Drosophila melanogaster: one gene and its partners. The gene in region 2 interacts genetically with the main gene of each other region. Each region holds a gene or a part of one and is shown on either strand. Other genes may lie near its edges. The genes, in order: dgo, pk, Mks1 and bdg.

Region 1 (7,313 bases), 3.6 Mb from region 2:
AAGTAGGACAGATTACCATCCTAAACACGTCCAATACAATTAGATGCTTCCAAACGATTCGAGTTTAGGAGCAAGAAAATGCAAGCTTAAAAGCCCAAATGAATATTCATTTGACTATATCTGCAATTCCAATTACTCGTTCTAGATACTTTGCGGCCAAGAAATACCCAGCTGGGTCAATCGTCTAGCGCATTTCAGCTCCTGTGTGCCATTTCTACAAAGATGTTTGCCAAAGTAAGCCTTTCTAAGTGAAACAAAAGCCAAGTTCATGATTATTAACTACTCTATGTTGTTTTTTAGAGAATGGCTGACACCGAATGCCTTGCAGCAAAGCATTACCACAATCCAAGAGCGCGAAGACTCCGACAACAGTCCCCTTTGAGACGTTACCTGACCGAAAATATGTCACTTGGCGACACACAAGCGATCATAGTTCACATAAAACAACAGTCCTGAGACCAACATTGTTAAGTTACGCAGAGCAAAAAGCCGGGTTACTCATGTCACATCAATTTCCAAGCCAACAACGCCCCCTAAATAGAAAGCAACAACTATTATTAATAGACTTAAATTAGGCGATATACATATACATACTTACATAGAACAAACCTACATTGAGACATACTTATACATACATGCGAAGTGACTAAATTATTGGCTATTGTAATTTGTATTTGTAATATGACTATTCAGAATTAAGATATTATTAAGTGGCCGATAAATTTAAGTAGCAGGCGCCGTTCAGCAGCAGTGTCATTTATAGAATTTTAAATTAACTACGAAGACATCGAGAAATCATCATTAGGCACTTGCTAAAATTGTACTAACAATACCGCAGACATATTGGTGAACGATATCAAAATGTTGCCCAATTTACTTGTTTACTTTTGTCAGCGGTGGGGATTTGGTTTTTTTGAATTCCCACCAAACATCGGAGCTCGATTATTGAGATGATTTCCTGGTTGATTTCGTTTACACAATTATACAGAGTTCATAAGCCGCATGTCTATCAAAACACCAAAATGATCTGTTATCAATAAATATATGTACTTGACATTCTGATATTTACACATGCATAAATACTATTATTAAACATTTTTAAAGAAAAATATATTTTGATCGAAAACATTCGGTTGCGTTTGATTTACAAGCGAGCAGGTTGGAACGTTTTTAATATTTTGGGTATTTTTGGGGTCAAAAGTGGAATAACCAAATAATTAAGTACACGATATTCTCATAAATTACGCAGAATATGAAAACACTCAGACCCAAAACTCCTCAACAAAAAACAACAAAATTATTGTACATATATCTTTGTATTATATTTATATATTTTAGACCCTCCAGATTAGATGCATCAGTTGAAAATAAGTTAACTTTTCTTTGTAGTTTAAAACTTGATTACAATTAAGATAAATATGTAGGGATTAGCTATGTACAATGGGAACAGCTGTGGGATTACCGAACTCAAACTAGACTCGAGACATTGTTGTAGAGGCCAACGGCAGACAGCTCGTCCAGATCGATTTCATTGGATGGAAGATTGGGATGAGGCCAGTTCCTTGGCCTTTGATTAACATGGGGCGGCACAATGGCCTGAAAGGTGGGGGACTGCAGAGGCCTATAGGCTACCGCATCCACGTAGTCCACTTGTCTTGGTGGAGCATTTGGATGTGGAATCCTTCCCACGTAAAGATCTTCACTGCGATAGAGACTCGCATTTGGTACGTAGCCGGAGTGCAGCCTTCTCTGCGGAGTTTGCGGAATCGGTGGACGGTGGGGCAGTTCATGGAAGTAAGCATCTTTGGGTATGTGTCTCTCGGGCAGCCCAAACTGGGCGCTACTCCGGTGGGGAATACTATACGTGGGCGAAGGGTTCGAAGAGGTGCCCTCCAAGTGATGGAAGTTATTGTTCAAGCGGGAGTGTGATCTTGCGGCGATCACATGTGCCGTCTGGGAGTCCTGTCGATTGGAGTCAATGGTGTTTTGCAGTTGGGCCACCATATCCCTCACCTGACCAGCGTTCGGCTTCTTTAGGCACTTGATTTCACTGTTCCGAATCTCCACCTTACTCATACTTTCATTGCCATTTTGACGCACTTCTGTTTCCTCGGCGTACTCCATGATGGGATTGGAGTAAAATAAATTCGACATGACGGGATAGTTGTCTTCCAAGCAAAGAGGCTGCCGTTTCATCAGATTGGAGATACCTGCCGCCTCGCTCGCTTGCTCCTTGTAGAGCAGCTTGTCGCCTCCCATTCCCTCGGCAGTTTCATTGACAGCCGTCTCCTCTTTGCCCAGATCCGCGAAGGAGGCATCTTTTCGAAGCGCCTTGATCACCGAGTTCAGCATGTTCTCTCCTCTCCCAATGCGCTGGTAGTACTTATTGTAATCCGGGTGGGGATTGCTGCCCGTGGGTGATGCCTCCCAGTCCCAGCTGTTGGAGTTCTGGGAGGGATTTGAGGTCTCACTGGAGTTCGGATAGCGTCGTATCACGTTGGCGTACTCGTCGAAATTGGGACTATTAACACTCTCTTTATCTTCTCGAAGTTGGGCAGACTCCGCCCTTGGATGGGGATTATAAGGTGGCGATAAGGAAGAAAGCTGGCGCTTGCTCTCCTGTTCGCTGTCCCTTTCCATGATCAGGGTGGTTTTCTCTAAAAGCACTCCCAGTCTTTCGGAGACTTTTAGGAAATCTAGCTTAAGTTCATCTAGCTTCGAGTGCTCCTCTGGTTCCGCCTCTTCTTGCACCTGGTCCTTGTCACCCACTTCTGCCTCTTCTTCATCCCGAGCTTCATTGGAATCGTCATCGCTGTCGCTATCCACCTGGACCTCCGCTGATCGGTGTACTATAGCCTCCACTGCCTGATCTTCCAGGACATCTACACTCCGTGAGTTGGTGAGCCTACCACCTTCGTGGTTGTTTTCCAAGAGCTCTAGACTGCGGCACCTGGACATTGTTCTTTCGATCCTTGAGCTCTTGTTCTGCTGATCGAAGGTGGACCGCATAGGTTCACCTCGTCGCAGGAACTCACTGAGGTGCTGCCTCTTGCTCTCGCATCGCAATCTGTCCTCGATCATCGTTCTTGTGAGCTGTTCAATCTGATCGTTCGTCTTGATTGCCAATGCCTGAACTTTGTGACCTAGACGTTCCTTGGTTTTGTGAACGTATTTCTTCAAACTCTTTCGATTGCAATTTAGTTTGTTTTCAATGTGACGGAAGAAGGGACCGCAATAGCATGTGTTGCCCACGCTGACCGGACCCTTGTGAATATGACCAGCCAAATCCAGGAAGTATTGCTCCCCCGACTTAAGTGGCTCCTTGGGCAGTGTCTCCAGTTTTGGTGAAGGAAAGGCACGCGGATCGGGAAAGTAGTGACAGCCATAGGGTGACCAGTTGATACCCTTGTCCACCACATCCCTTTCACGATCTCTGTCCTTGTCCGATCTGCTGCCGCCCTCCTTGGGTTTCTCCTTGCGATTCCGTATCTTCTTCGGCGTGTTCAGGATCTCGATGATTTCACGGTAGTTCTTCCTGATCGCTATGTGCATGGGGCAGTCGCCTTGTGCGTTTTTAATGCCCAGCCGAGCATCTGCCTCTAGGAGAATCCTTGTCAGCTTCCTGCGACCCATGGCACAGGTGATGTGCAAAGCGGTGTCGCCGTTCAGATTTGTTTTATTCGGATCGCAAAGGGCGGAGAGCAGGATCCGGGAGACTCCTGCATGTCCATATCTGCAGGCGGTGTGCAGCGGAGTATCTCCATACTGAAATTGTTAAACATGTTAAACATGGTTATCACTGATATGATCCAACACTTACATTATTCCGGACATCGGGATCGGCGCCGGCCAGCAGTAGCTCCCTAGAGCTCTGATTGTGACCATTTTGAGCGGCCAAGTGCAGGGCGGACAACCCTTCGTTGTTGGCAATACCCAGGGCGCTATTGTGTAGGGCTTCGATGGTCTGGTGGGCCACCTTCACTCTGCCCTTGTTCTTATCCTTGTCTTTGTCCTTCTGTCCCTTTGCTGCTTTTCCCACCCCCGAGGAAGCGGGTGGCGTGGGGGGCGTGCAGATCAATTTCACGCAGCGACTGAACCCCCGACTGGCGGCCTCATGGAGCGGGGTATTCCCCTGCACGGATTCCCTGGCCAGTCGATCAGCATTGCTGAACAGGAGACCCTCCACCCGGCGATCATCTCCGGCGGCTACCGCCTCGTGCAGCGAAGTCCAATTGCTGGAGTCGGGCTTAAATCAGAAAAAGAAGTTACATCGGTGTAAGATTTGTTGGTTCAGGCAAGTGCCCTTACTTACCCCGGATATCGCATTCGGGAGAGCTTCCTGTTTCGGAATGCGGGAGGATCCATGCTGCATTGTCTGCGAAAATATTCATTATTTATCAAATTTGTTAAATTATAATTTCATTCATTTATCATGATGTGTTGCAATTATAACTTTTTAAGTAACACTTTATCAAAACCAGATAAAATTAAAAAAATTATTTATATTAGAACTACATTTTGTCTTTAATAAATGAAAAATCTTACTTAAAGTACCGTAATTACCGTTAGAATCGTTTATATGTCGAAAATCATATGAAAGATGGTATTCTTTGATATAACCTTGTTGACGACGAAAGAGCTTAACTTGACCTGGGATCAAATGAATCTGATCTTCGATCGCACATTTTCTAGCCGTGTATGCGCATGTATGTGTGCCTCACGTAATGGCGTACCACGTAGTAATTGTCATTACAAATAGAAGTGGGAGTTACCAAAAGCGATCAAATAAAGGACTCGTAATTTGAAATACAACCTTTTTGAGGGTAGATTAAATGTCTTTCATTATAACACATTGATAAAACATGTATGGTTTCTTAAATGTTCAACACTATTACAGTAAATTTCTAGACCTGAAAACCAGGTTTAAAGTGCGCCTAGGTTTTCTCGATTCCCGACTTACTTTTCACTAATTTTAAATCCCGTCTTTGGACCGCAATTTACGCATTGCAATTCGCCACTCTCACGTATTTACACATGTTTACTTTCGACTATTGTTCAGTACCCGACTTTGCAGTATTTGGCCATTGATGGATTGATGGAACGCCCAGAGTTAATTTGGCTTCAAGCCAGGCCTAAAAAGAGACTAAAAGAAAGCCAATCACAGGCAAAATTGGCAACAGGTTTCGAGCTGGGTTGCCGTACCTGCGACAGCTAACGGTGAAGCCGATAGTCTGCATTATTGCTCCAACAGAAGTACGGTCACTCTACAAGTAGGCAACGAATTTTGTTTGTCATCGGCATTTCGCATTCAACGTTTCCAATTGTTTTTTAAGGAGCTTTAAGAATGGCTTTAGCTGAAATCTGCAAGATATCGAATGCTCCGTACATGCGGCCCAATGCCTGGTCATCGGCGGATGTGGAGGAAGAGCAAAAAGGGCTTATGTGCAATCTGGCCAATCCCTACACACTGGCTGCTCCGCCATTCGAGAACGTATGTAGTTAATTAGCTGATCTTCTTGGGAAATTTACTAAAAAATTTGACAATTTCCTCAGCCCCTGCACAACCTTAATCAGATCCAGGCCAATGGCGACAAGACCGGCGTCAAAATCAACTTCGATCACGGCACCACAACGTTGGGCTTCAAGTTCAAGGGCGGCGTTCTCCTGGCAGTCGATTCCCGTGCCACGGGTGGATCGTACATTGGCTCCCAGTCGATGAAGAAGATCGTGGAGATCAATCAGTTCATGCTGGGCACCTTGGCCGGTGGCGCAGCCGATTGCGTTTACTGGGACAGGGTCCTTTCGAAGGAATGCCGCCTTCACGAGCTTCGAAACAAGGAACGCATCTCGGTGGCCGCCGCCAGCAAGATAATGGCCAACATTGCCCACGAATACAAGGGAATGGGTCTGAGCATGGGCATGATGCTGGCCGGTTACGATAAGCGTGGTCCAGGCCTCTACTATGTGGACTCCGAGGGATCTCGCACGCCTGGCAATTTGTTCTCTGTTGGTAGTGGATCGCTGTACGCCTACGGTGTCCTGGACTCTGGCTATCATTGGGACCTGGAGGACAAGGAGGCCCAGGAGCTGGGACGTCGCGCCATCTACCATGCCACCTTCAGGGATGCCTACTCCGGTGGTATCATTCGCGTGTATCACATTAAGGAGGACGGCTGGGTAAACATCTCCAACACCGACTGCATGGAGCTGCACTACATGTACCAGGAGCAGTTGAAGCAGCAGGCCGCTAAGTAGAGTTTTGATTAAGGGAATATAAGATATTCAGTTTGTATACGTTTGAATTTCTTGGAATAAATAAACGTGCTAGAGACTATGTTTTGTGTATAATTGATTGGGCTAATTTGTTTTGCTTTTCATAGGTTTATTACTATAAATGTAGTTGTATGTATGTAATGTATTTTTGGTAAATATAACAAGTACGCATATATTAATAGTTTAGGTTTCCTTATTCTTTTTTTGCTGTGAGATCATTTGCAATGTTTCCTTGTGTCGCACTTCCGCTCGTTTTTGCTTGAATGTCCGCTTTCCGCCCTTGGTTTCCACTCGCTTTCTTCGCAGGACTCCCCGTTCCATTGCGCTTCGAAGTTCCTGCTCGGCATCCAAGTACGAAGGTATGTGGATCTGCCGTATCATTCGATTCCGCACCATAAAGTGATCAAAGGGGTGCTGACCACCATTGCGATCGATGAAAACTGCATGGGTGAGCTCGCAGGTCATGTGTCCATCCGCTACATCGATGATTCCGGCCACAGAGGTCTCGTTGTGCAGATCGATCAGTACGGAATGACCCTGCAGCATCACGGGCCAACAATTTAAGGTGTTGGACACCAAATACTTCTCCCGCGCACTAAACTGCTGCATTATATCGATATGTTTAAAAATAAGTGTTTGCTCTTGGACACGGAGCTGCCAACTCGCTTCATAAGTAATTTGACATTTTCATTAATTAGTTTTGAACTACATCTAAGAGAAGTACTTACGGAAGTTTTCAAGTAAAGGTTTTTTCCCTTTTTCACGTTTGCGTGACGGTCGTGTAAAACAGTTTTGGCAAACAAATCCAGCTATGGTGCGTATGAACGTATTGGCCGATGCCCTGAAGTGCATAAACAACGCCGAGAAGCGTGGCAAGCGGCAGGTGCTGCTGCGTCCCTGCTCCAAGGTGATCATCAAGTTCCTGACCGTGATGATGAAGCATGGCTATATCGGCGAATTCGAGATCGTCGAGGATCACCGTGCCGGCAAGATCGTTGTCAACCTGACCGGTCGGCTAAACAAGTGCGGCGTCATCTCGC
Region 2 (5,664 bases):
TTAGTTTCAATGGCTGGCGGCTCTGTCATCAATCCCCAGTTGGAATTACACAGTTGACCAGGAGTGTCCCCCCTTGCATACGGCATAAACTCAAGTATGGTAGCTTTATGGTGCCTTTTATTGCCAGGCATTTGCCGGGGCTCAAGATTTCATGGCCGGCGGCTGGGAAACTGCGTGGAAAATGGCAGACAGGCGCAATTAATTTTATGACTATTTATGTAGATTTTTCTCGGAGTGTAATTTACAGAAATGCAGGTTAAAAAGTCAATTGCTTTGTCTTGGTTTACTTTCCCAACGCGCAGTTAAGCCGTTCACCGCAGCACTCAACCTTTTGTGTTTAGTGTTGCGCCCACTTGAGCCGCATTTGCCCGGAAAGTCTCTTTTGAACGGGTTAAAATTGTGTTATCAAGCTATCAAGAACCCCATTCAGCGCCACAGAATCTGACATATATATGGACTTATCACTGCCTACCTAAGTGGTTTAGAAAGCCGCAGACGTGACAACTCATTCAGCGCGGCTGCAACTGTAAAATTTCATAATTTATTATGCAGTCGGATGGGCCTATGCAGCTGGCACATTTTCCGATATTACCATACGAATCCCGCCAGGGAGACAATATAAACAATAAGAGATATGCACCCAATAGCGGTCTTCAGAGCTGGATTCTTTCCGGTTCTGTTTGGCAGTCAGGCGGGATGTCTCACTCGCTAATGGATTAACTTGTTTGTCTATTTTACTGCCAAACTATAATTTGAGCCTCTGAAAGCTACGGCTGGGCCAGGCCGTAATAATTACACAGTTTAGGTCCGCCAGCCAAACTAGTTTGGGCGAAAGCCCGGCGATCTAATGAGCCATTGTCTGGGCCTCATATTTCATTGGGTCGGATAATAATCTCACGCCTGGCTTATCGGTGGAGCGGGGTGCTAAACGTCTTTGTCGCCATCGAAATTGATTGCTCTAAGCAGAAATGGAATTCCTTTTCAAGTTTTTATTGCGCTCACATAAAACCCGATCGCATCTCGAAAATCGTTCGATGTCGTGGAAAACAAAGTGAAATGAAAATCGAGTCGGCACGCCGCCAAAATGGACACCTTGTGGGCGGTAGGCAGTTGGCCGGTCTAATCTGCAGCGCACTCGTGTTAAATGTCAAATCCAATCAAATGGCGTTGAGTGAGAGGAAACGAGCGGGCCGGGCCAGCTAACGTTGCTCCATTTTCCGGGGAACCCGTTCTTATCTGCCTGGAAGATGGTTGGGAAACTAACGCGAGCTGACAGGATGACAGTTCAAATTGGCGTTTGCATACGTCCATCGACGGATCCAATACTTATTTACGACTTCCCGCCTCAAAAGCTCATAACGGGGCCTAATTAATTTACAGACCGAAATTCGCTCGCCAATGATGAATAGCTGGGAAATGGTTCGTTAATTGCGTCTTTAAATGGACGTGAGACATGTGTAATATGCAAATGGTGGGGCACAGACACAGAGATTGACATAACGAAGTTAGGTTGTTGACCCACTCGGACCTTTTGTTATGCTAACAAAACCAAGTCGATAACTGTAAAGTGGCCAATCTATTCCGAGGCGGGAATCTTTAGCTGCTTTGTATCTCAGATAGCCCGACAGCCAGATAGCCAGAGCATCTTGCCTTCATGCTCCGGCAATTGTGGCTAGATGGCTGCGTGCGGAGTAAACTAACCAACAAATTAACACGCCAGTTAGTTAGTTAGTTAGTCAGTTCGAGGCGTCGATTGGGGTTAAGCAGCCGTGGCAGTTGGCCCATAGTGAGGGAGAAAGTTGATGCAGCAGCTCCATAATTGAGCCAACTAGTTGCCGCAACTCGGCCATAAACAACAGTTTTATTTCGAACCGCCGCCGGCCGACGCTACATAATTATGAAGAATTTCTCAATAAAGCCCGGAATCGAAGCCAGCCGCAGTGCGAAAATTGATTTAGTTGGCCGGGCCATAAAAGACCAGAGCGAATTGCAGTGTTCCGTTGGTGCTTTATGGCCACCGTGCCTGGGCTATGTACATACACCGCGGAGGAATGCGCCGCAGAACCACTATCGGTGCGCTTTAAATTCAAATTGGCATGTCAGGCAATTAGAAATCGGAGATAAATTTCAACCCCGGCCCACACACACGTTCAGCTCGAGTCAAATGTCTCTTGTCAATGAGGTGTTCGAAGCCCACACAGACACACACACACACACACGGGACTGAAAAGCAATTGCTAACAAGCCATTGTTGACACATTGCCGCCATGTAAGCCCGTTTCATTACACTTCTGTGGGTGGCAGCTGCTTTGGATCACCAGATCCGTAGATCCTCAGCTTTATCTGCACTATGGCCCACCAAAAACTAATTGGATCAAGCGGCGGAGAAAGCCAAGAGCTGTGCGCGGTAATCAAAATATTTCGGGCTTTGGCAAGTGTTTTTATGGCTAGACGAGTCATGTTTTATGTGCTGGAGCGGGTCGTAAGCCTATTTGGTTATGACTTCATTCCGCGAGGCTGCAGCAAGTTGGTGAAAGTGCGCTGCGAATGGCGATTAAAACTTAACGCATCTAAATAAATCAAGCTGAGCACTTCAGTTGACGTGTAATGTGCATAAGCTTATGAAAGCCATTACACCGACGGGCCGGGCATATCCAAAGTTCGTTGCTCAAGTCTTTCGTTTCCTAAGTATCAGCCACACACCTTGGCTAACAGATTCTCGACCTTCGATAATCCCATAAAAATATTGCGCTAAAGCAGCCGGCCCGACGTCTGTGCCTCGCATATCAATCGGCCTCGAATTTCATTTGATTTTTAATGTAATTTTATTGTCAGTTGTATCTGTATCTGAATACGAATACGAAAGCGTTTGTATCAGTGAAGGAGTTTGAGTTTGAGTATCAGCTGGTATCCGTGTTGTACGAAACGAGCTGCGTTGACAATCATCAGGCGAAAACATGGCTTAAATCACATCTCACTTGCCCGTGTGGCTTATCCCGAGCATTTAGCGTAAATGAGCGCTTAGGCCAATTGTTGCATTAATTCACTTGGCCCCAGGAAGGAACACTATGCCAGACTTATTTAGCTGGCCCTGATAGGGACCACTCTGGATTATGGATTGCACTTCACTTTTGTCAATTTTTTGCAATTGTTGCGAATTCAGTTAGCAGCTTTTTGTGCACTTTGCTCCGATCTGGCTGAAAAACGGTAAACGACAGATCTGGCGCAAGATAACGTGGACCGAAATCGACATAGCCGAAGAGCGCGCGATCGATCGATCGTTCAGACGGATTACGCGACGACTAACCCGCACCTGTTGCCAGATGTAAACCGCTCGCAACTGACGACGCTTTCAGACTGATCGAACCTGCCCAGATGTGGATTTCTGTGTGGTTTGATCTTAGGCTGTGGATCGTGTTCGATGAAGGTAAGGTGTTCGTGGGACTTCTTGCTTTAGTGTTCTTTCAACGAGCTGCCAAAATACTATCACTATTAAGTGTAGTTAACGATAACAAGATAGTTTATAGTAATTTGTTTCCGATTTCGTCGTTAAAATTGTCTAAATTTGTATAAAACGCCAAATATCATAAGCTGCAACTCAATCCGCAACTGCAACATCGAACTTGTTTGATAGCTCCATTGCTTACACTACCATCCCAAAAGTATGCTTCGTTACTACGCATTTTTAGAATCATATACATGTAGATTTGCGCGTAAGATTCTCTGTAGAATCTGAGTTCCTAATATTTCATCGTTTAAGTCTAATGTAGAAATATAAGTTTCTTGTTTCTTTTTGCAAACAATATAGGGTTCTAAAATTCTAGATGCTGAAGTATCTGAAGAACTTTCCAGGACTCTATGGGACAATAATAGGGCTTTTACATAGAATGCCTCGTGTTCATAAATAGTGAATTGCGTAATCTACCTTCCCATGGATGTAAGAATTTAGTAGTTATATATCCAGCCGTATTCTGATGGCAGCGCTGTTCAAATCTTAAATAATTAACTTTAAGTAATAAACACCTTGTAAATTAATGGTGTTTAAAGAGCAATAAACTTAAAATAATTAAGTAAGAAAAAACTGCATGTAGTAATGAAGTGCATCAGAAGAGCTGATTACCACACATACACGAAAGAATACGTACTAAAATGATTTTCATACTTTAACAGTTAAAACACTAGAAGGGTACCCAAAAGAGTTTTTAATATGGTAACCGTGAAATACGATTTGGCCAAACCCTTTTGAGTAATTAAGAGTGGTTTTTATAAATTAGATGTGACCAAAAATATAACATAAGCTACATTTAAAGCCGGTACTTAGTGATGAAATATCTCTTGTCAGAAAGCAAAAATATTTCCCAACCACATTGCAAAGTGGGCTTGAAGTGACAAAAAGTGCGATGTCAACCGTGTTGGCCATCTGACGAGTTCAAGGTTGATTTCCAGCTGACCATGTTAGTTGGTCACCATCATTGCCTGCCGACTGGAGATCATTAGGCCGCACATTAGTGCCATCTCAGCGCAGGCTAATTAGAAGCTGAGTGTGAACGGAAACACTACGTTTCTGCGTGCCGCTTTTTGTTGCACAACCTGGGATGCCTCAATGATGCATGATTTATGGCATTTTGAATTGTGGATCGGCGGCGTGTGAAGCTCCCGAGGGGCCGGGCATCAAAGACCTGTCCAGCAATACGTATACTTATGTAGGTTTCTGCGCTTGGCTTACCTGAAACGAAAATGTAAATCGAAGGCAATTAGCTGAGTCTAATAAGGGCCAAAATAAGATTGAGTATAAGAATGGGGATTATAGTTGGATAGCGTTGACGCTATCAAAAAATCAATTTGGCTAATTGCAAGCATAACGGCCTCATTCGTTGCCACATTTCATCAAACACCATTTGGGAAGGAAACGTCAAAAGAGCAGCCCCAAGGTGCAGACAACTTTTAGACACGCCAAGTCTGGGAGGGAATGGCTGGAGTTTAGGGGGCTGGACGTGGTTCGTTTATTAGCGGAATCGAATGGGCCCCAAAGTGTCATCAAATCAATGCAAGCTAGCTCAAATCGAAGTCGGCTTCCAAACTTTTCCGGCCCACATTTGCGCGCCATTAAGCATTATGGGGGTTGCGGGGTGTGGGCCCGCATTCCTCTCGTGAAATGGGCAATTTTGTTGGCCCATAAAGGGCTATCGTAATGGGAAAAGTTGGCGCCACATCGGGGGCACAGGTGTGTCCCCAGGCAGGGAAATAGTTCCCACCCCGGGCGGGCTAATAGATTTCCAAATCAATAGACCATCCCTGGGGAGTTTTTCTTTATTTCAATGCGAGAGTTTTAGCAACTTCTCGGTCATATTAAATTTGGACGTTAACATTGCAAACAAGCCGCAAAAAGCTGTTTTGTAGGGCTACTTTAAGCGTTTTTGGTGCTCTCGATAACAGAAACCACGTTCTCGGCCATGTCACACAGGTGCGAGTAGGTCTGCATGTAGAGGCTATCCCTGTAAGATTTCCGCGATCGCAGTTTTTTCAAGAGATACTGATATGGGTTTTTCCTACGCAGCTGCTGGATCCACGGCTTTTCCTCCGATTCTTTGCCATTATAATCGGTCCCGTCGGATGGCGGCTCCCCTTCTTCCTCTCTTAGCTGAAAGTGACTTATCTCCAATC
Region 3 (5,655 bases), on a different chromosome or scaffold from region 2:
AAGTCCTTCAAAAAATGATAGGGATCGTTAGGATTGGTAATTAGCTGCTCAAAACAGTTATATTGTCATCTATATGACAAATTTTAGCGATGTTATGACGAAAATTCCGTTTGTAAAATCAAGTTTTTGGTAAAAACCCGTTTCTTTCAAATTTCGGTCAATAAATAATCCGTTTTTTTGCCACAACTTTTAAAATAATGGCCCCAATATGGAATGTCATACCTCGTTGAGCTCGTTATTTAATTCCAAATCGAACTGTGTCCAAAAATTGGAATTCTATTTTTTCGCCATTTTTTGCAAATTTTGATGATGCAAAATTTACAAAAAATGCAAAAATTGTCAAAAAAATAAATTTTCCTAAATCCTTCAAAAAGTGATAGGGATCGTTAGCATTGGTAATTAGCTGCTCAAAACAGTTATTCTTTCGTCTATATGACATTTTATAGAGAAGTTATGACGAAAATTCCGTATGTAAAATCACGTTTTTCGCAATACCCGTTTTTTTAGAATTTCCGTCAATAAATAATCCGTTTTTTTGCCACAAATTTAAAAATAATTGCCTGAATATTGAATGTCATACCTCAATGAGCTCGTAATTAAATTTCCCATCAAACTGTGTCAAAAAAAAGGAATTCTATTTTTTTGCTATTTTTTTCAAATTTTGATGATGTTACCCCTTACAAAAAATGAGAAAATTGACTCAAAAATAAATTTTCCTAAATCCCTCAAAAAGTGATTGGGGTCGTTAGCAATGGTAATTAGCTGTCCAAAACTGTTTACATTACATCTTAATGATTATTATTAGCAAAATTATGATTAAAATTCCCATCGAAAAATGTATGAAATTTTGCCAATACCGTTTTTCCGATTTTTGAAATTAATATTATCGGTTTTTTTTTAAATAGGTGTCTGAATATATACCTCTTTGAGCTCGTTCTTAAATAATCTATCCAAAATATTCCACATCAAATGTACATACATATGCTTCTCACGTTTTTTACTCATACATAAAAAAAAATACGTCTTTCATAATATAATTAATTACTAATAATTATACAAATATTATAGTTTATATAAAAAAAAATTATTTGTCATCATATTATTGTACTCATTGAAGGGCTTAAAACTCAGCCTGGTAGTATGCAGATGATGGTGAGGCTGTTTCTGAACTATTTCCCAGGAGCAGCTCGATCCGTTTCCTGGCCTCCACAAAGGCGGCCATTACTTCGTCCAGAGTGGTGGCCCTCGAAGTATCCGGATTTGAACTGGATCTGACATCGTCATCATTGCTATCGCCATCGTCGCTACTATCGTTGCCGAGTTCCAGATGGAAGTGGTGATGGAACTGATCAGATGTGTCTATTTGGCGCTGCTGAAGCTTTTGAAGCCGGAGCGAAAGTGTTCCCGTGGTGGTCATTGGCCTGTCAGAGTTGAAGTTCAAACGGGAATGCATTTCCGATTGCCGATGTACATCGAAGAAGGACTCAAAGTCGAACAGCTGACGACCGCCTATGAAATACCGATTGAGGGCATCCAGCCAGTTGCCCAGTGGTCGGATGCACTGCAGCCGTATGGAGTCCGTTGGCAGGGCGGATGTTAACGGTATCGCATAGTGAGCATATCCCTCACATCGCTCCCGCTGCCAGCTATCTATGCTGATCACTTCAAAATATAGATGCAGTAGATCAGCCGGATGATGTTGTTCCTCCAGCAGCAGGGTCACCTGCCAGCAGTGACCCAAATGGGCACTCCTCCAGTCGCCGGCATTCCTGCACGTGGCCGTCGCTCCCTGCATGGTATCCACCCCAGGTGTACCCTCATAAAAGGTATTTGCTGGTGCTTTCAGATAGTATCTTACATGTATGTTGGGGTTCTCAAAGTTCTGGCCTTCCTGTAGTTCCAGCAGCAGGCTGACCCGCTTCATCCTCTTGGGCGGCATTTCGAACTGGAGGAGACTTCTCCTCTCGCTGGCTGCTTCTCGCCGTCTGCGATAAAACTCGAGTATCTCCTCGGCGGAGGCTTCTTCGGGCAGATCTTCTTCGATGGGTAAACCATCGCCCAGTTCCTGCTCATCCTCGCCATCCGCCTCCTCAGAGAAACCATCATCGTCGTAGGCCTCTAGCGGTGTGACATTCTCAAAGCCAAAGGCATACAACTGTCGGCAATCGTTATTCCGCTCGATCTGAATCACATAATCCAGATCCTGGGCACTGCTACTGAAATCCGGATAGACATAGAGCAGACCCTGTTCGGGATCATATCGTATACTAACCAACAGTGTGTCCTGCTGCAGATCGGCATAGATGTACATTAGCTGATAGCCCTTTTTATGGAATTCACTTGCTTCGGCGGGCATAAGACTCTCGGAATCATTATCCAATAAGGTGTGTATGAGGCACGTTCTGGCGGCAAAATTGGGGTCATCCAGTATTGAAACCTCCGACATATTCGCCGAGGACAGACTGGTAATAGTCGGGTGAGCTGCGGCAGAGCAGCCTCTCTGCTTCGCCTTGGGCTTTCGTATCCGGCGACGAATTGTAATAGGCTCAGGATCCTCCACCGTCTCTGCATCTTCCAGATTCTCCAGTTTCCTTAGATATCGCTGTTGTAGCTTCAAGGTTTCCAAGGCCCACCTGTGATAGCGCCGCTGTAGTTTCGAAGCGCAACTTCCAGGATTGTTTATATATTGCTCCAGTTCCGCTTGACTAAAGTGCTTTTGCTGCCAGGATATGCGTATTGTGGCTATAGCACCATTGCAGAGTTCCTTATTCCGTTTATAGAAGAGATCACCAGCGGGAGGACGACTATTATCACTGAGAATGCTCCACGACCGATTACTTTGGGACTCCAGATCCGTTATTTCTCCCTCGTTCTTATCCTTTTCCATTTCCCCCTCATGCTGAGATATTGGACTCCTTCGTCTCCTGCCGGTGTAACCAATTCCCACATTATAATAACTGCAGTTGTAGCCCAAGCCAGTCTTCCCTCCACACGAATCATCGCCCTGGGGGACATGAATATAGCAATCCTGCCAGATATCTTCCTCCGATCCGGGATAGTGGTCACCATATGCGTTCGTCGATTGCGCTCCCGCGTATTCAAATTTGGGGACCGGCAGCCATTCACTGATGTGTCGCAGCTTCAGTTCCAATTGCAGATCTCCTATGTTTCCGCTCACGCGATAAACTCCAGTGCGCTTTATGTCTCTGCTTTTTTGCATGATTCGCCGATGATTATTTTGCCCAGTAAATTTTTAGTTTCTTTATTCAAACCTCAAAGAATGTAAATGACTGGCCTTCTTTGTTTGTTTTCCATTTTGTTATGTTTTGTTTATGGTTTTTGAATTACCGTTGCCCAGGTAACCAATCGATTATATACCGAAAACCAACTATTGTTGCCGTGACAACCATGAAGGCCGATAACTGTCTTTGAAATATGATAGCTAGAAAATAGCCGAAATTATATTAGCTGCTCAATAAGATTTTTATAAATTTAAATTGTACAAACTGTAATTTATTCATTTATTTTATTATAGCCACAAATACAATGTCAATTAGATTGGAAATAATAAACATACATTACACAGCTAGCACTGAACATTTTTAAGTTGTATATTTTTTATTTAATAACTTACAAATAATAATTAATGCTTTGTTTCCAAACGAAATAATTCAGAATGGTGAATGGATTCAAATCCAATTTCAAGCGAGATAGCTAAATCTAGCTAGATAGCTGCACTGTCGCCAGCCCTGGAACATACCAACTCCGCTTCGGTATATTCGATAGGCTTATCGATTGCTCGCGAAGCTTTGCCGCTGTGTTTGTGTTATCGTCGGCCGCTTTATGCACTCCACATTCCTCGTTTCATTTTGGCCGCCAGTTGTGTTTTCGATTGCTCTGCGTGCTGGTCGTTCCTCCAAGTCTGCAATTCTGCACAATTTTACAATTATTCTTCGCGCGTACTCCAACTCCCCATTCATCCGTCTGTTTGTTTGGTTGTTTCCTTTCTTCGTTGCACCTTTTGCGCGCGCGCAACCGCCGATAAACAGAGAAAAGAAGAAAAGGAGAAATTCTGCAACAAACACTGGAAGTGCAATTTTAAGTAGACGATCCCGTGAATGTTTTCCAGTTGAAACATTTACTATCGTTTCATTTTTTTTTTAAATTTTGTTCTGTTAAGTGTTGAAAAAAAAGTTTTTGCAGCCACAGCAAACTAAAACTTTTCATCAAAATGCAGCAGAAAGTCGAAGAGGTTAGTAAATAATAAAAACATAATAATAAGTTAATAATATCTAAGATCTTGGTGTATATGAAATCAAGACAGACTGTTGAAAATACATGCTATGTTTGTTTGTTCTTCACCAAATGAAGAAAGTTTTAGGTAATTTCAGAAGCATTAAAAAGACATTAAGTAGGAACCTAAAAGTAAGCAAAAACTAGTGCATTTTATATTTCATTACTGAGGAAAAGTCTTATTACATATATTCGTTAATGTTAAACAATAACATTTTACGATTATAGTTTACGAAATAATCGTTAATTTCCAGCAGATGATTACATTAGATTTGCAGTTTATGAAGTTGTTCTTGTATTTTCTCTTACTTTTTTTTTTTGGTTTTTGATTTTACTCCACCCATTACCCATTCTCCTATCTCCTTTGCTTCCCTGCATTCTCCTGTATTTCATTGAACTTAGTACGCCCCCGATGCTGCGCTGCTTCTGCTGGCGTCGCTGCCGGCGTCGCTGTCGCTGCTCTGCCGTGACGTTCCATTGACTGATTTTCCCGACTTTCCGCAGAAAAAAAAGAGAAAAAAAAGAGAAAAAAAAAAACGAACAACAATAATGCTTTGGCCACAATTGTAAAATGGTTTTGTTTGGTTTTTCATTTACATGTTGTTCTTGTTTTGTTTTTCTTCTTCTGTTGCCCACAGGTGTGCATGTGTGTGTGTCCCCCATTGTTGTTGTTATTGTTGCTGGCGCTTTATTTGCACAGTTGGCCGCTGTTTTTTTTTTGCGTGTGTTTTATTGTGTTTAATATATTTTTGGACCCGTCTTGATCTTTTTTCTTGAGGGCCAAAACCAAAGTCATGGTAAGAGCTGTGAAATTTGTGATCGCCATTGTTTTGGTCTACAATTCTCGTGGTGCTCCTCCTTCTCTTTCTCTGGCTGTCTTTCTTCGCTTCCTTCTCTTGTCCACCTCTTTCGACGATGGAGAATTTAGGCCTTAAGTCCAAAAGTGTGCCACAAATGTCATTTTCGATAAGAAATCTCTTTTAAAATCATCCACATCATGACACACAAAAATTTAATATATAATATAGATCTGCAGACCAGCACAGAGTTGAACTAAAAAACTGCAAATGACACAGAATTTAGTATCAATTTGAAAAATTATAAAGTTGACCGGTAGTAAGAATTTGACTAATAACTTTATTATTTGGTTGCATTATATTCAAAATCTTCAAAAATAAAATTACGCTATGTTTAAAAGCTTTAAAATCCATATAAAGACAGTCTATAAACAACGCATGTTTTTCAATGTATAGCTGTCAAAAATATGAAATATGGTTACCTTTAAGAAGTGCCATAACAGCTGTTTAAGCAGCTTACTTAACAGCCCAGAACCCCCCACAAAAAAAAAAAAAACAGAATGTT
Region 4 (6,026 bases), 8.7 Mb from region 2:
CAATTAAAGCACAGATTGCGTCAAATCAAATACGTTGTTTATTTTTTCGGGAAATCCAAGTTTCGTTCAGCGATGATAGGCAATGCTCTCCTTCAGATGAAACCCGAGCCCGAGAAAAATGTTTGTTAAAGCCACAATCAAATCAGAACCACCGATTGGGACAGGTCAGTGGGAAGATCACTTTTCATTCTACGTTAAAATGCAATCAAATGCAAACAAGCGCGTGCTCTGGCGTTTTTACGATTGTTTGCACGTGAGTGAATCGCGTCTATAAAAAATGAAAAAAAAAAAAACAATCTACGCCAGCTGCTGTCAAATGGTCGAGAAAAAATATGGAAAAAAAATGTTTAATGGTAGAAAAAAAAATAAAGCAAATAAATAAAACAGTAGGAAAGAGCAGAGCTCATGTTCATTCAACTGATCAGGTGAATGTACTTCCGTTAATAATTTTTTAAGGCACGATATAAACAATCAATTCGGAAAGGGAGTGCTGGAGTCTAGGCCTTAAAGGGGGGAGATCGTTGGCACGTTACCTCGATTCACGTCAAAATTGTTTTATATTCGCTTTTTTTTTTTTGTTTACCTGTATGAATACCCTTGTGTATTATGGAGTTTATTTAGTATTTAAGAAGACATTTCCGACTTGTCGGCGGTATCAGCCGGTGATTCGATATAACGAGGACCAAATAAACGTAGTCCTCTGGCCAGGATAGCAAATAAAATGTGGCAAACGGTGGTGGTTTTTTTTATTGCATGTGGAAATGTTGTGTTCAATCAAAAGCAGCACATAGTTGCCATAGAAACCGGCAAACCTAACTTGCATAAGTTTATGCAGTTTATTAACTGTATAACGGTTATACATCTAAGCAAACTTTTTTAATTTTAAGGATTCTATAAGAGTAGATGTGCTGATCAAGTACAAGTGCAATGCTATGTGTATATAATAATGAAATTATTAGATACTAGGGCATCTGAGCTTCGACTTGGCCAACTTGCCTTATCAGTTGCTGGTCTGCGATCTCATTGAATCACAGAGTCTGTTGAGTCTGGTTTAGCTTTGATTTTATTTTGCATACGCTTAGCCGTGACCTTCGTAGCCGCCATAAAATCTCCGAAACTCACACACGCGCACGCGCACAACCAGTCTTGCACTTCTTTTCGGTAATACCTTTTGGTAATATATGCGAATGCGATATGGGCAGATGGTGCGGTGTGGCGTGGTGTGGTGGTAATAGAATGGGCAGCATCCACACTTTAATTGGTGGCCCAGAGGTCAAATTATTTAGCGAAGCAGCGCCATTGATCGCAAATTCACATATGTACACAAACCGATACATTTATATATATGTACATGCAAACGTACATAGGCAGGCAACCACGTACCGTTAAATTTCGCTGGCGCTCTCGTTTTCTGGCATTTCTCGCATTTTCGCACCGCACACAGAAATGTAAACAAAACAATTAGAGCTGCCGCCGCAGCAACAGCAAGTGCAACTCACAATCGATCGGCAACTCTGGCGAAGGTCACCTCGCCAAATGTTGGGGCTAAAATGGCAACTCCCAGGTGTGGTGCACTAATCACCAAACATCGCTGCCCGCTGGCCAACTTGTTTTCCTTTTCTATTCGTGGAGAGACTCTGAGTGTGCAATTACAATGAAATTGACATTCACCAGGCAAATAAAACTAGTTAATGCTGCCACACGCACATACATACGTATTTGCACACACACACACACACACACACGAGAGCGCAAACTGGGAAGCTGGCTCCATTGTGCGTGAGCAGCATGTCTGCCTGTGTGTGTATGTTAGTGAGCGACTAGGGTTGCAACTTATGCTGATCGCGAGATGCGAGGCTTCCAACGGTTCGATCTGCGATGCGTGCAGGTGCCGCAGCCCTGGCACAGTGAAAACCGGCTAACAGTAACTGGCATTAGTAAAAACTACACAAAAACGCAGGGTTTACTCTCTTTAATAAAGTAGCTCAAAACATAATTTAAACTGCTTTGTGACTTAATGATGTACAAAATGTATTAGGCATATGAGTTAAGCTAAAAGGGCACTTAAAACCTTAATCACTTGTAATGAGCCTAAATGGGTTTAATGAACTTTACAAGTGATTAATCAAAATCTATAAGCAATGTTTTGACAGTAACTTCTGTGGGTCAAGCACAGACTCGCATAGCGCCAGTTCACTGTACTTCAGCTATCTACCACCATGCCAGCTACTCTTGTAAAACATCAAACGTTGAGATCGGCACGTTTTATGCAATTTCTTCGTAGACAGATAAGTGCTGCAAGTACGGGGTGCGGCATTCGCATTCGATCCCCCTCCTTTTGGGACTTGCATATGAGTAATGCAGTCAATAAAGTGCCCACCGCGTGTAACTGCGCCTCCAATTGAGTTCAATATTTAAGGGAAGCACTGGGTCAATTGCTAAACAAACGTTGTGTACGGATACATACATATATGGATATAGAAATTCTGAACACATTCGCAGTCCAGATAGCGGGAATTCGTTATTTGTTTATTTTTGCATTCTCCTCTGGCAGGCGGAAGAAAGAGAAAGAGAACGGTAAAAAGCCCGCCCTGCTTTTGTTTTTCTTTTTTTTATGCGCTGTTGAAATTGTATGTATTTGCAAAACATTGCCAACACACACCATCACGCATACATACAGGTTATCCAGAGTTTTAAATGAATAATCATTCCGAATAAAAAATAAACGCTGATTGGGCTTTTGCGGTTCGCTGGGGAATACCTTAATGGGTGGATTGGTCATTCTCTTTAGAAGGGAATGGTAAGGGGTGGGGGGACAGCCCACAGCTGTTTCCAGCGACTGACCCGAATGGAAAATGTGAGAAATGGTATCAAGCCAAGCGCGTATGCGCAGCACGCTCGACAACCGAAATTACGGTGTGTACTTGTGAGATTGAGATTTTCAGATACGTGTCGCGCTCTCTCTCCCCTCCCTCCCTCTTACAATCTAGATAAGCAACGCTCGCTGAACGTGTGTGTGCGTGCGTCGCTTTGTTTCTCACCGTACGAAAAAGTGTTTTTCGAAGAAGATTCCAAAATGGAAAGGTAGCGGACTGTAAGGGTTTTCTGGTGTAGCGGGGGGATATGGCCACTGCTTGCCACACCACACTATAAAGAGCATAAAGCGCCCACACTCCGTAAAATGCAGCAGCAACACCAGACACACACACACACACTTGAACTCTTCCTTTGAAATACTCGCAGAATATACTCACACGAGCGCGCGTTTGGTAATTTCGATTTCACACATAAAATTCCCCGTAGCTTCGGTTCGGTTCTTCTAAATTTTGTTCACTATCTTCTGCACTTCTTGGCGTTGGAGCTTGTTAGTTTTTCGCGACCAGAACTCAATGGAGCTCCCTTACGAGCAGCGCACACGACTTCACGCGGAGAGCTGAAAACGATTGCTTGGATACCAATATTTTGGTACTTTTGAGTAGAGCCGTCAAAACATCGATGCTACTATCGATAGTATCGAACCGTGCATGGCGATGATATCGAGATAGTTGTGAGCAGTGGAATCAGACTGTTGCAAGCTAATAGGCTAATCTCTCGGGGCACATCACTTGAAGACCGTTGGGATTTAAAACTTAGCAAAATAAATAAATTATTTTAAAGAATTTTTGCAATTGAAAAGACAAATTTTTTAACATTTACATATACATTTATTGGAGAATGCATATAGTTGTGTGTAAACCATACTATCAGCGGCCTATAAACATGATCAACAAAAATACATACATGTGTTAATAAGAGTACTATAACAAGAAATCCATGTGATCTGCGGTCGTGCCGGTGCATTGATACCCTTTTCAGCGCGAATTAGAGCTGCTCATCTATATAAGGTCATTTCAGCGTGCATAATGTATGGTTCAAAAGGGATGCGCTCGGACACAATGCGATAGTTAGTAACGACAACTTACAACCGTAGCTAATGTAAAAACGAATAGCTGCAGTTGGCCAAGTACTTAGTAGACGATTAGTAGACGATTATATTAGCTAATCACCGGATAATTTGAACTTCGCTGTAGTAGTTTGTGTGGGTGCAATCAATCGATTTGCTTAACTGCTAACTAGGCTGGTGAACTCTAAATGATGTCGATATGCACTTCACGAAAGGAACGTGCGCACGAATCCCTTGATGTCTGCGCGGCACATGGGACAATTGGCTACACTGGGGGCGCACTGATTGCAGGTGGCTGTCGGGTTAACAGGAAGTTAGCTACAGCTCAAGGCAATCAAGGTATAGTTCAGCGACTTACCCAAGTGGCCACAGGGCAGGAACACTACGCCAACCTCCTCGTCCAAGCATACCTTGCATAAGCGTGCATCCTTTAGCTGGCGGTTTTCCTCCTCCAGCGATAGGTTTCCGTTCGGCGTGGCCACCGACATCTTTTGTATTTCGTCTGTGATTTTCGATATATTCGCCACTGCTTCAGCTGCCTGTGGTTTGGCTGGGATGGAATCGGCCACCGGTATTGGCACAGATGCTGCCTTGCTGGTGGTGGCCTGACATGGTTCAATAAAAGGAGCACTTGGCTCCGGCGGCTCGCGCACCTCCAGTGCAGCTCCTGCGCCCGCATCGTCAAAGATGTCATGCAATAGTTCGTCCAACGTAGAGAAAGCGCAGCCGGAACTCAAGAGCTTGCGCTGGATGGCATTGCGCACAACTCCTCCATCGATACCCAAGGCTAGGGCCTCCTTGGCCGGAGCTTCATCCATCAGTACGTCTGCTTGGAGCGTTGGAGCCGGAGCAGTTGCTGGCTGGGAACTGGCGTTGGCAGCTGTTGTCGCGAGCACTTCGCTTACATAGGCTGGACCCTTGGCCAGCAAAACGAACTGACACTTTGGCGACCACTTGGCGTGTTCGAACCACGGCTCGTCCTCCTTCTGCCAGGAGCGCAATCCAATGTTGCAGTGGAAACAGCGCACCTGGTCGCCTATTTTCTGATAATATAGGCCAGCCTGCGCCAAAGCCGAAGCGGGCTGAATATTGGAAATGGGCCAATCGGTGAAGGTTCTCAATCTGGCGTCCACGCAGGCGTACTTGGGACGCAGTGGCAGAGTGGTGGGCTGGATGCCCAGCTCATCCAGGTTCTTCCCGGTGGCAAACTCTATAAGGGGGCCCATTTGCACACGAGGACATTGGGGAAAAAAGCGCTTGTGCTCTTCAAAGGCATTGTCGTTCTTCTCCCACTTGGCAATCACTCCGTTGCACCAAACACACTTCACGTGATCCAGACGGTTCAGGTAGTAGAAACCTGCCTTTGCCAGAGCCTGCGGCGTGATGTTGGGATTCTACAAAGGAAGACGTTTTGGGCTAAAGTTAAACTATCTTATTCAGTCATTAAAAATATTTGAAATTATACAGTATACAATAACTTCATTTGAAGTTCATAATGATTTTTGTATATCTTAATTAAAGCTTAATTTCGTAGGATTATCAATCAACATTCAGCTGAATTGAGGCAGCTAACAAGACATTTCTTGTTTGTATACAAAAATATCATTGATACTTTCGACCGGGATTTTCCTGGCCTCATTTACGCTACTTTTTAACTACGCAATCATACTTACATATGCACTTATAGTGAGCTTGAAACTGAAACTATAGTGATTACAATGACCCGCTATGGTGAATCACCAGAAGCGAGCGACACCAGCTCAGGGTACTCACCGGCCAGTCCTTGAAAGTTACCAAGCGATTGGCCTCCAACAAGAGATCGGGACAAGAGCAGGACTCCGGGCTGTCCACTACGCTGTTTCCCTCGTTGTCGCTCTCCTGGCTCCTGGGAACATTGCCGCAGTGATTGGGAGCCAGAACCATGGAGCAGATGGGCGAGGAGCGGCGATGGCGCTCCGCCACTTGATCGCCGTATTCCCAGCGGTCGATGCGCACGTGGCAGAAATGGCACTCGGCCTCCAGCCAGTTTCCCGTGGCAAAGAAACCATTGGCGACCAGATCCTCCGCGGAAACTGGGGCATTC

The links.
Region 1: of pk (region 2) and dgo, changing one enhances a phenotype caused by changing the other (phenotypic enhancement), as found in Drosophila melanogaster (2 studies listed by BioGRID).
Region 3: of pk (region 2) and Mks1, changing one suppresses a phenotype caused by changing the other (phenotypic suppression), as found in Drosophila melanogaster (one study listed by BioGRID).
Region 4: of pk (region 2) and bdg, changing one suppresses a phenotype caused by changing the other (phenotypic suppression), as found in Drosophila melanogaster (one study listed by BioGRID).

The regions. Positions count from the first base shown.
Region 1 is NT_033778.4:10,814,729-10,822,041, forward strand, and holds dgo (diego), read right to left. Parts: upstream 5,157-7,313; 5' UTR 4,564-5,156; intron 4,376-4,563; 5' UTR 4,373-4,375; coding exon 4,313-4,372; intron 4,247-4,312; coding exon 3,821-4,246; intron 3,766-3,820; coding exon 1,468-3,765; 3' UTR 1,309-1,467; downstream 1-1,308. Other genes in the region: CG7222 (uncharacterized protein), read left to right, coding at 146-234, 301-382; Prosbeta5 (proteasome beta5 subunit), read left to right, coding at 5,345-5,491, 5,554-6,255; Lsm10, read right to left, coding at 6,457-6,882; RpS15Ab (ribosomal protein S15Ab), read left to right, coding at 7,085-7,313.
Region 2 is NT_033778.4:7,184,928-7,190,591, reverse strand, and holds the start of pk (prickle), read right to left. Parts: upstream 3,360-5,664; 5' UTR 2,979-3,359; intron 1-2,978. Other genes in the region: CG30384 (uncharacterized protein), read right to left, coding at 5,408-5,664. UniProt on the Drosophila melanogaster protein: Acts in a planar cell polarity (PCP) complex; polarization along the apical/basal axis of epithelial cells. Correct expression of the alternative isoforms is required for PCP signaling in imaginal disks.
Region 3 is NC_004354.4:12,493,342-12,498,996, forward strand, and holds Mks1 (meckel syndrome, type 1), read right to left. Parts: upstream 3,257-5,655; 5' UTR 3,221-3,256; coding exon 1,121-3,220; 3' UTR 1,054-1,120; downstream 1-1,053. Other genes in the region: mdu (meduse), read left to right, coding at 4,232-4,252. UniProt on the Drosophila melanogaster protein: Probable component of the tectonic-like complex (also named MKS complex), a complex localized at the transition zone of primary cilia. Required for ciliary structure and function.
Region 4 is NT_033778.4:15,928,483-15,934,508, forward strand, and holds the start of bdg (bedraggled), read right to left. Parts: upstream 3,454-6,026; 5' UTR 3,042-3,453; intron 1-3,041. Other genes in the region: Diap2 (Death-associated inhibitor of apoptosis 2), read right to left, coding at 4,150-4,238, 4,302-5,337, 5,717-6,026. UniProt on the Drosophila melanogaster protein: Putative sodium-dependent transporter which is required for viability, early imaginal disk development and adult motor coordination. Also has a role in the fate commitment of the R3/R4 photoreceptor cells.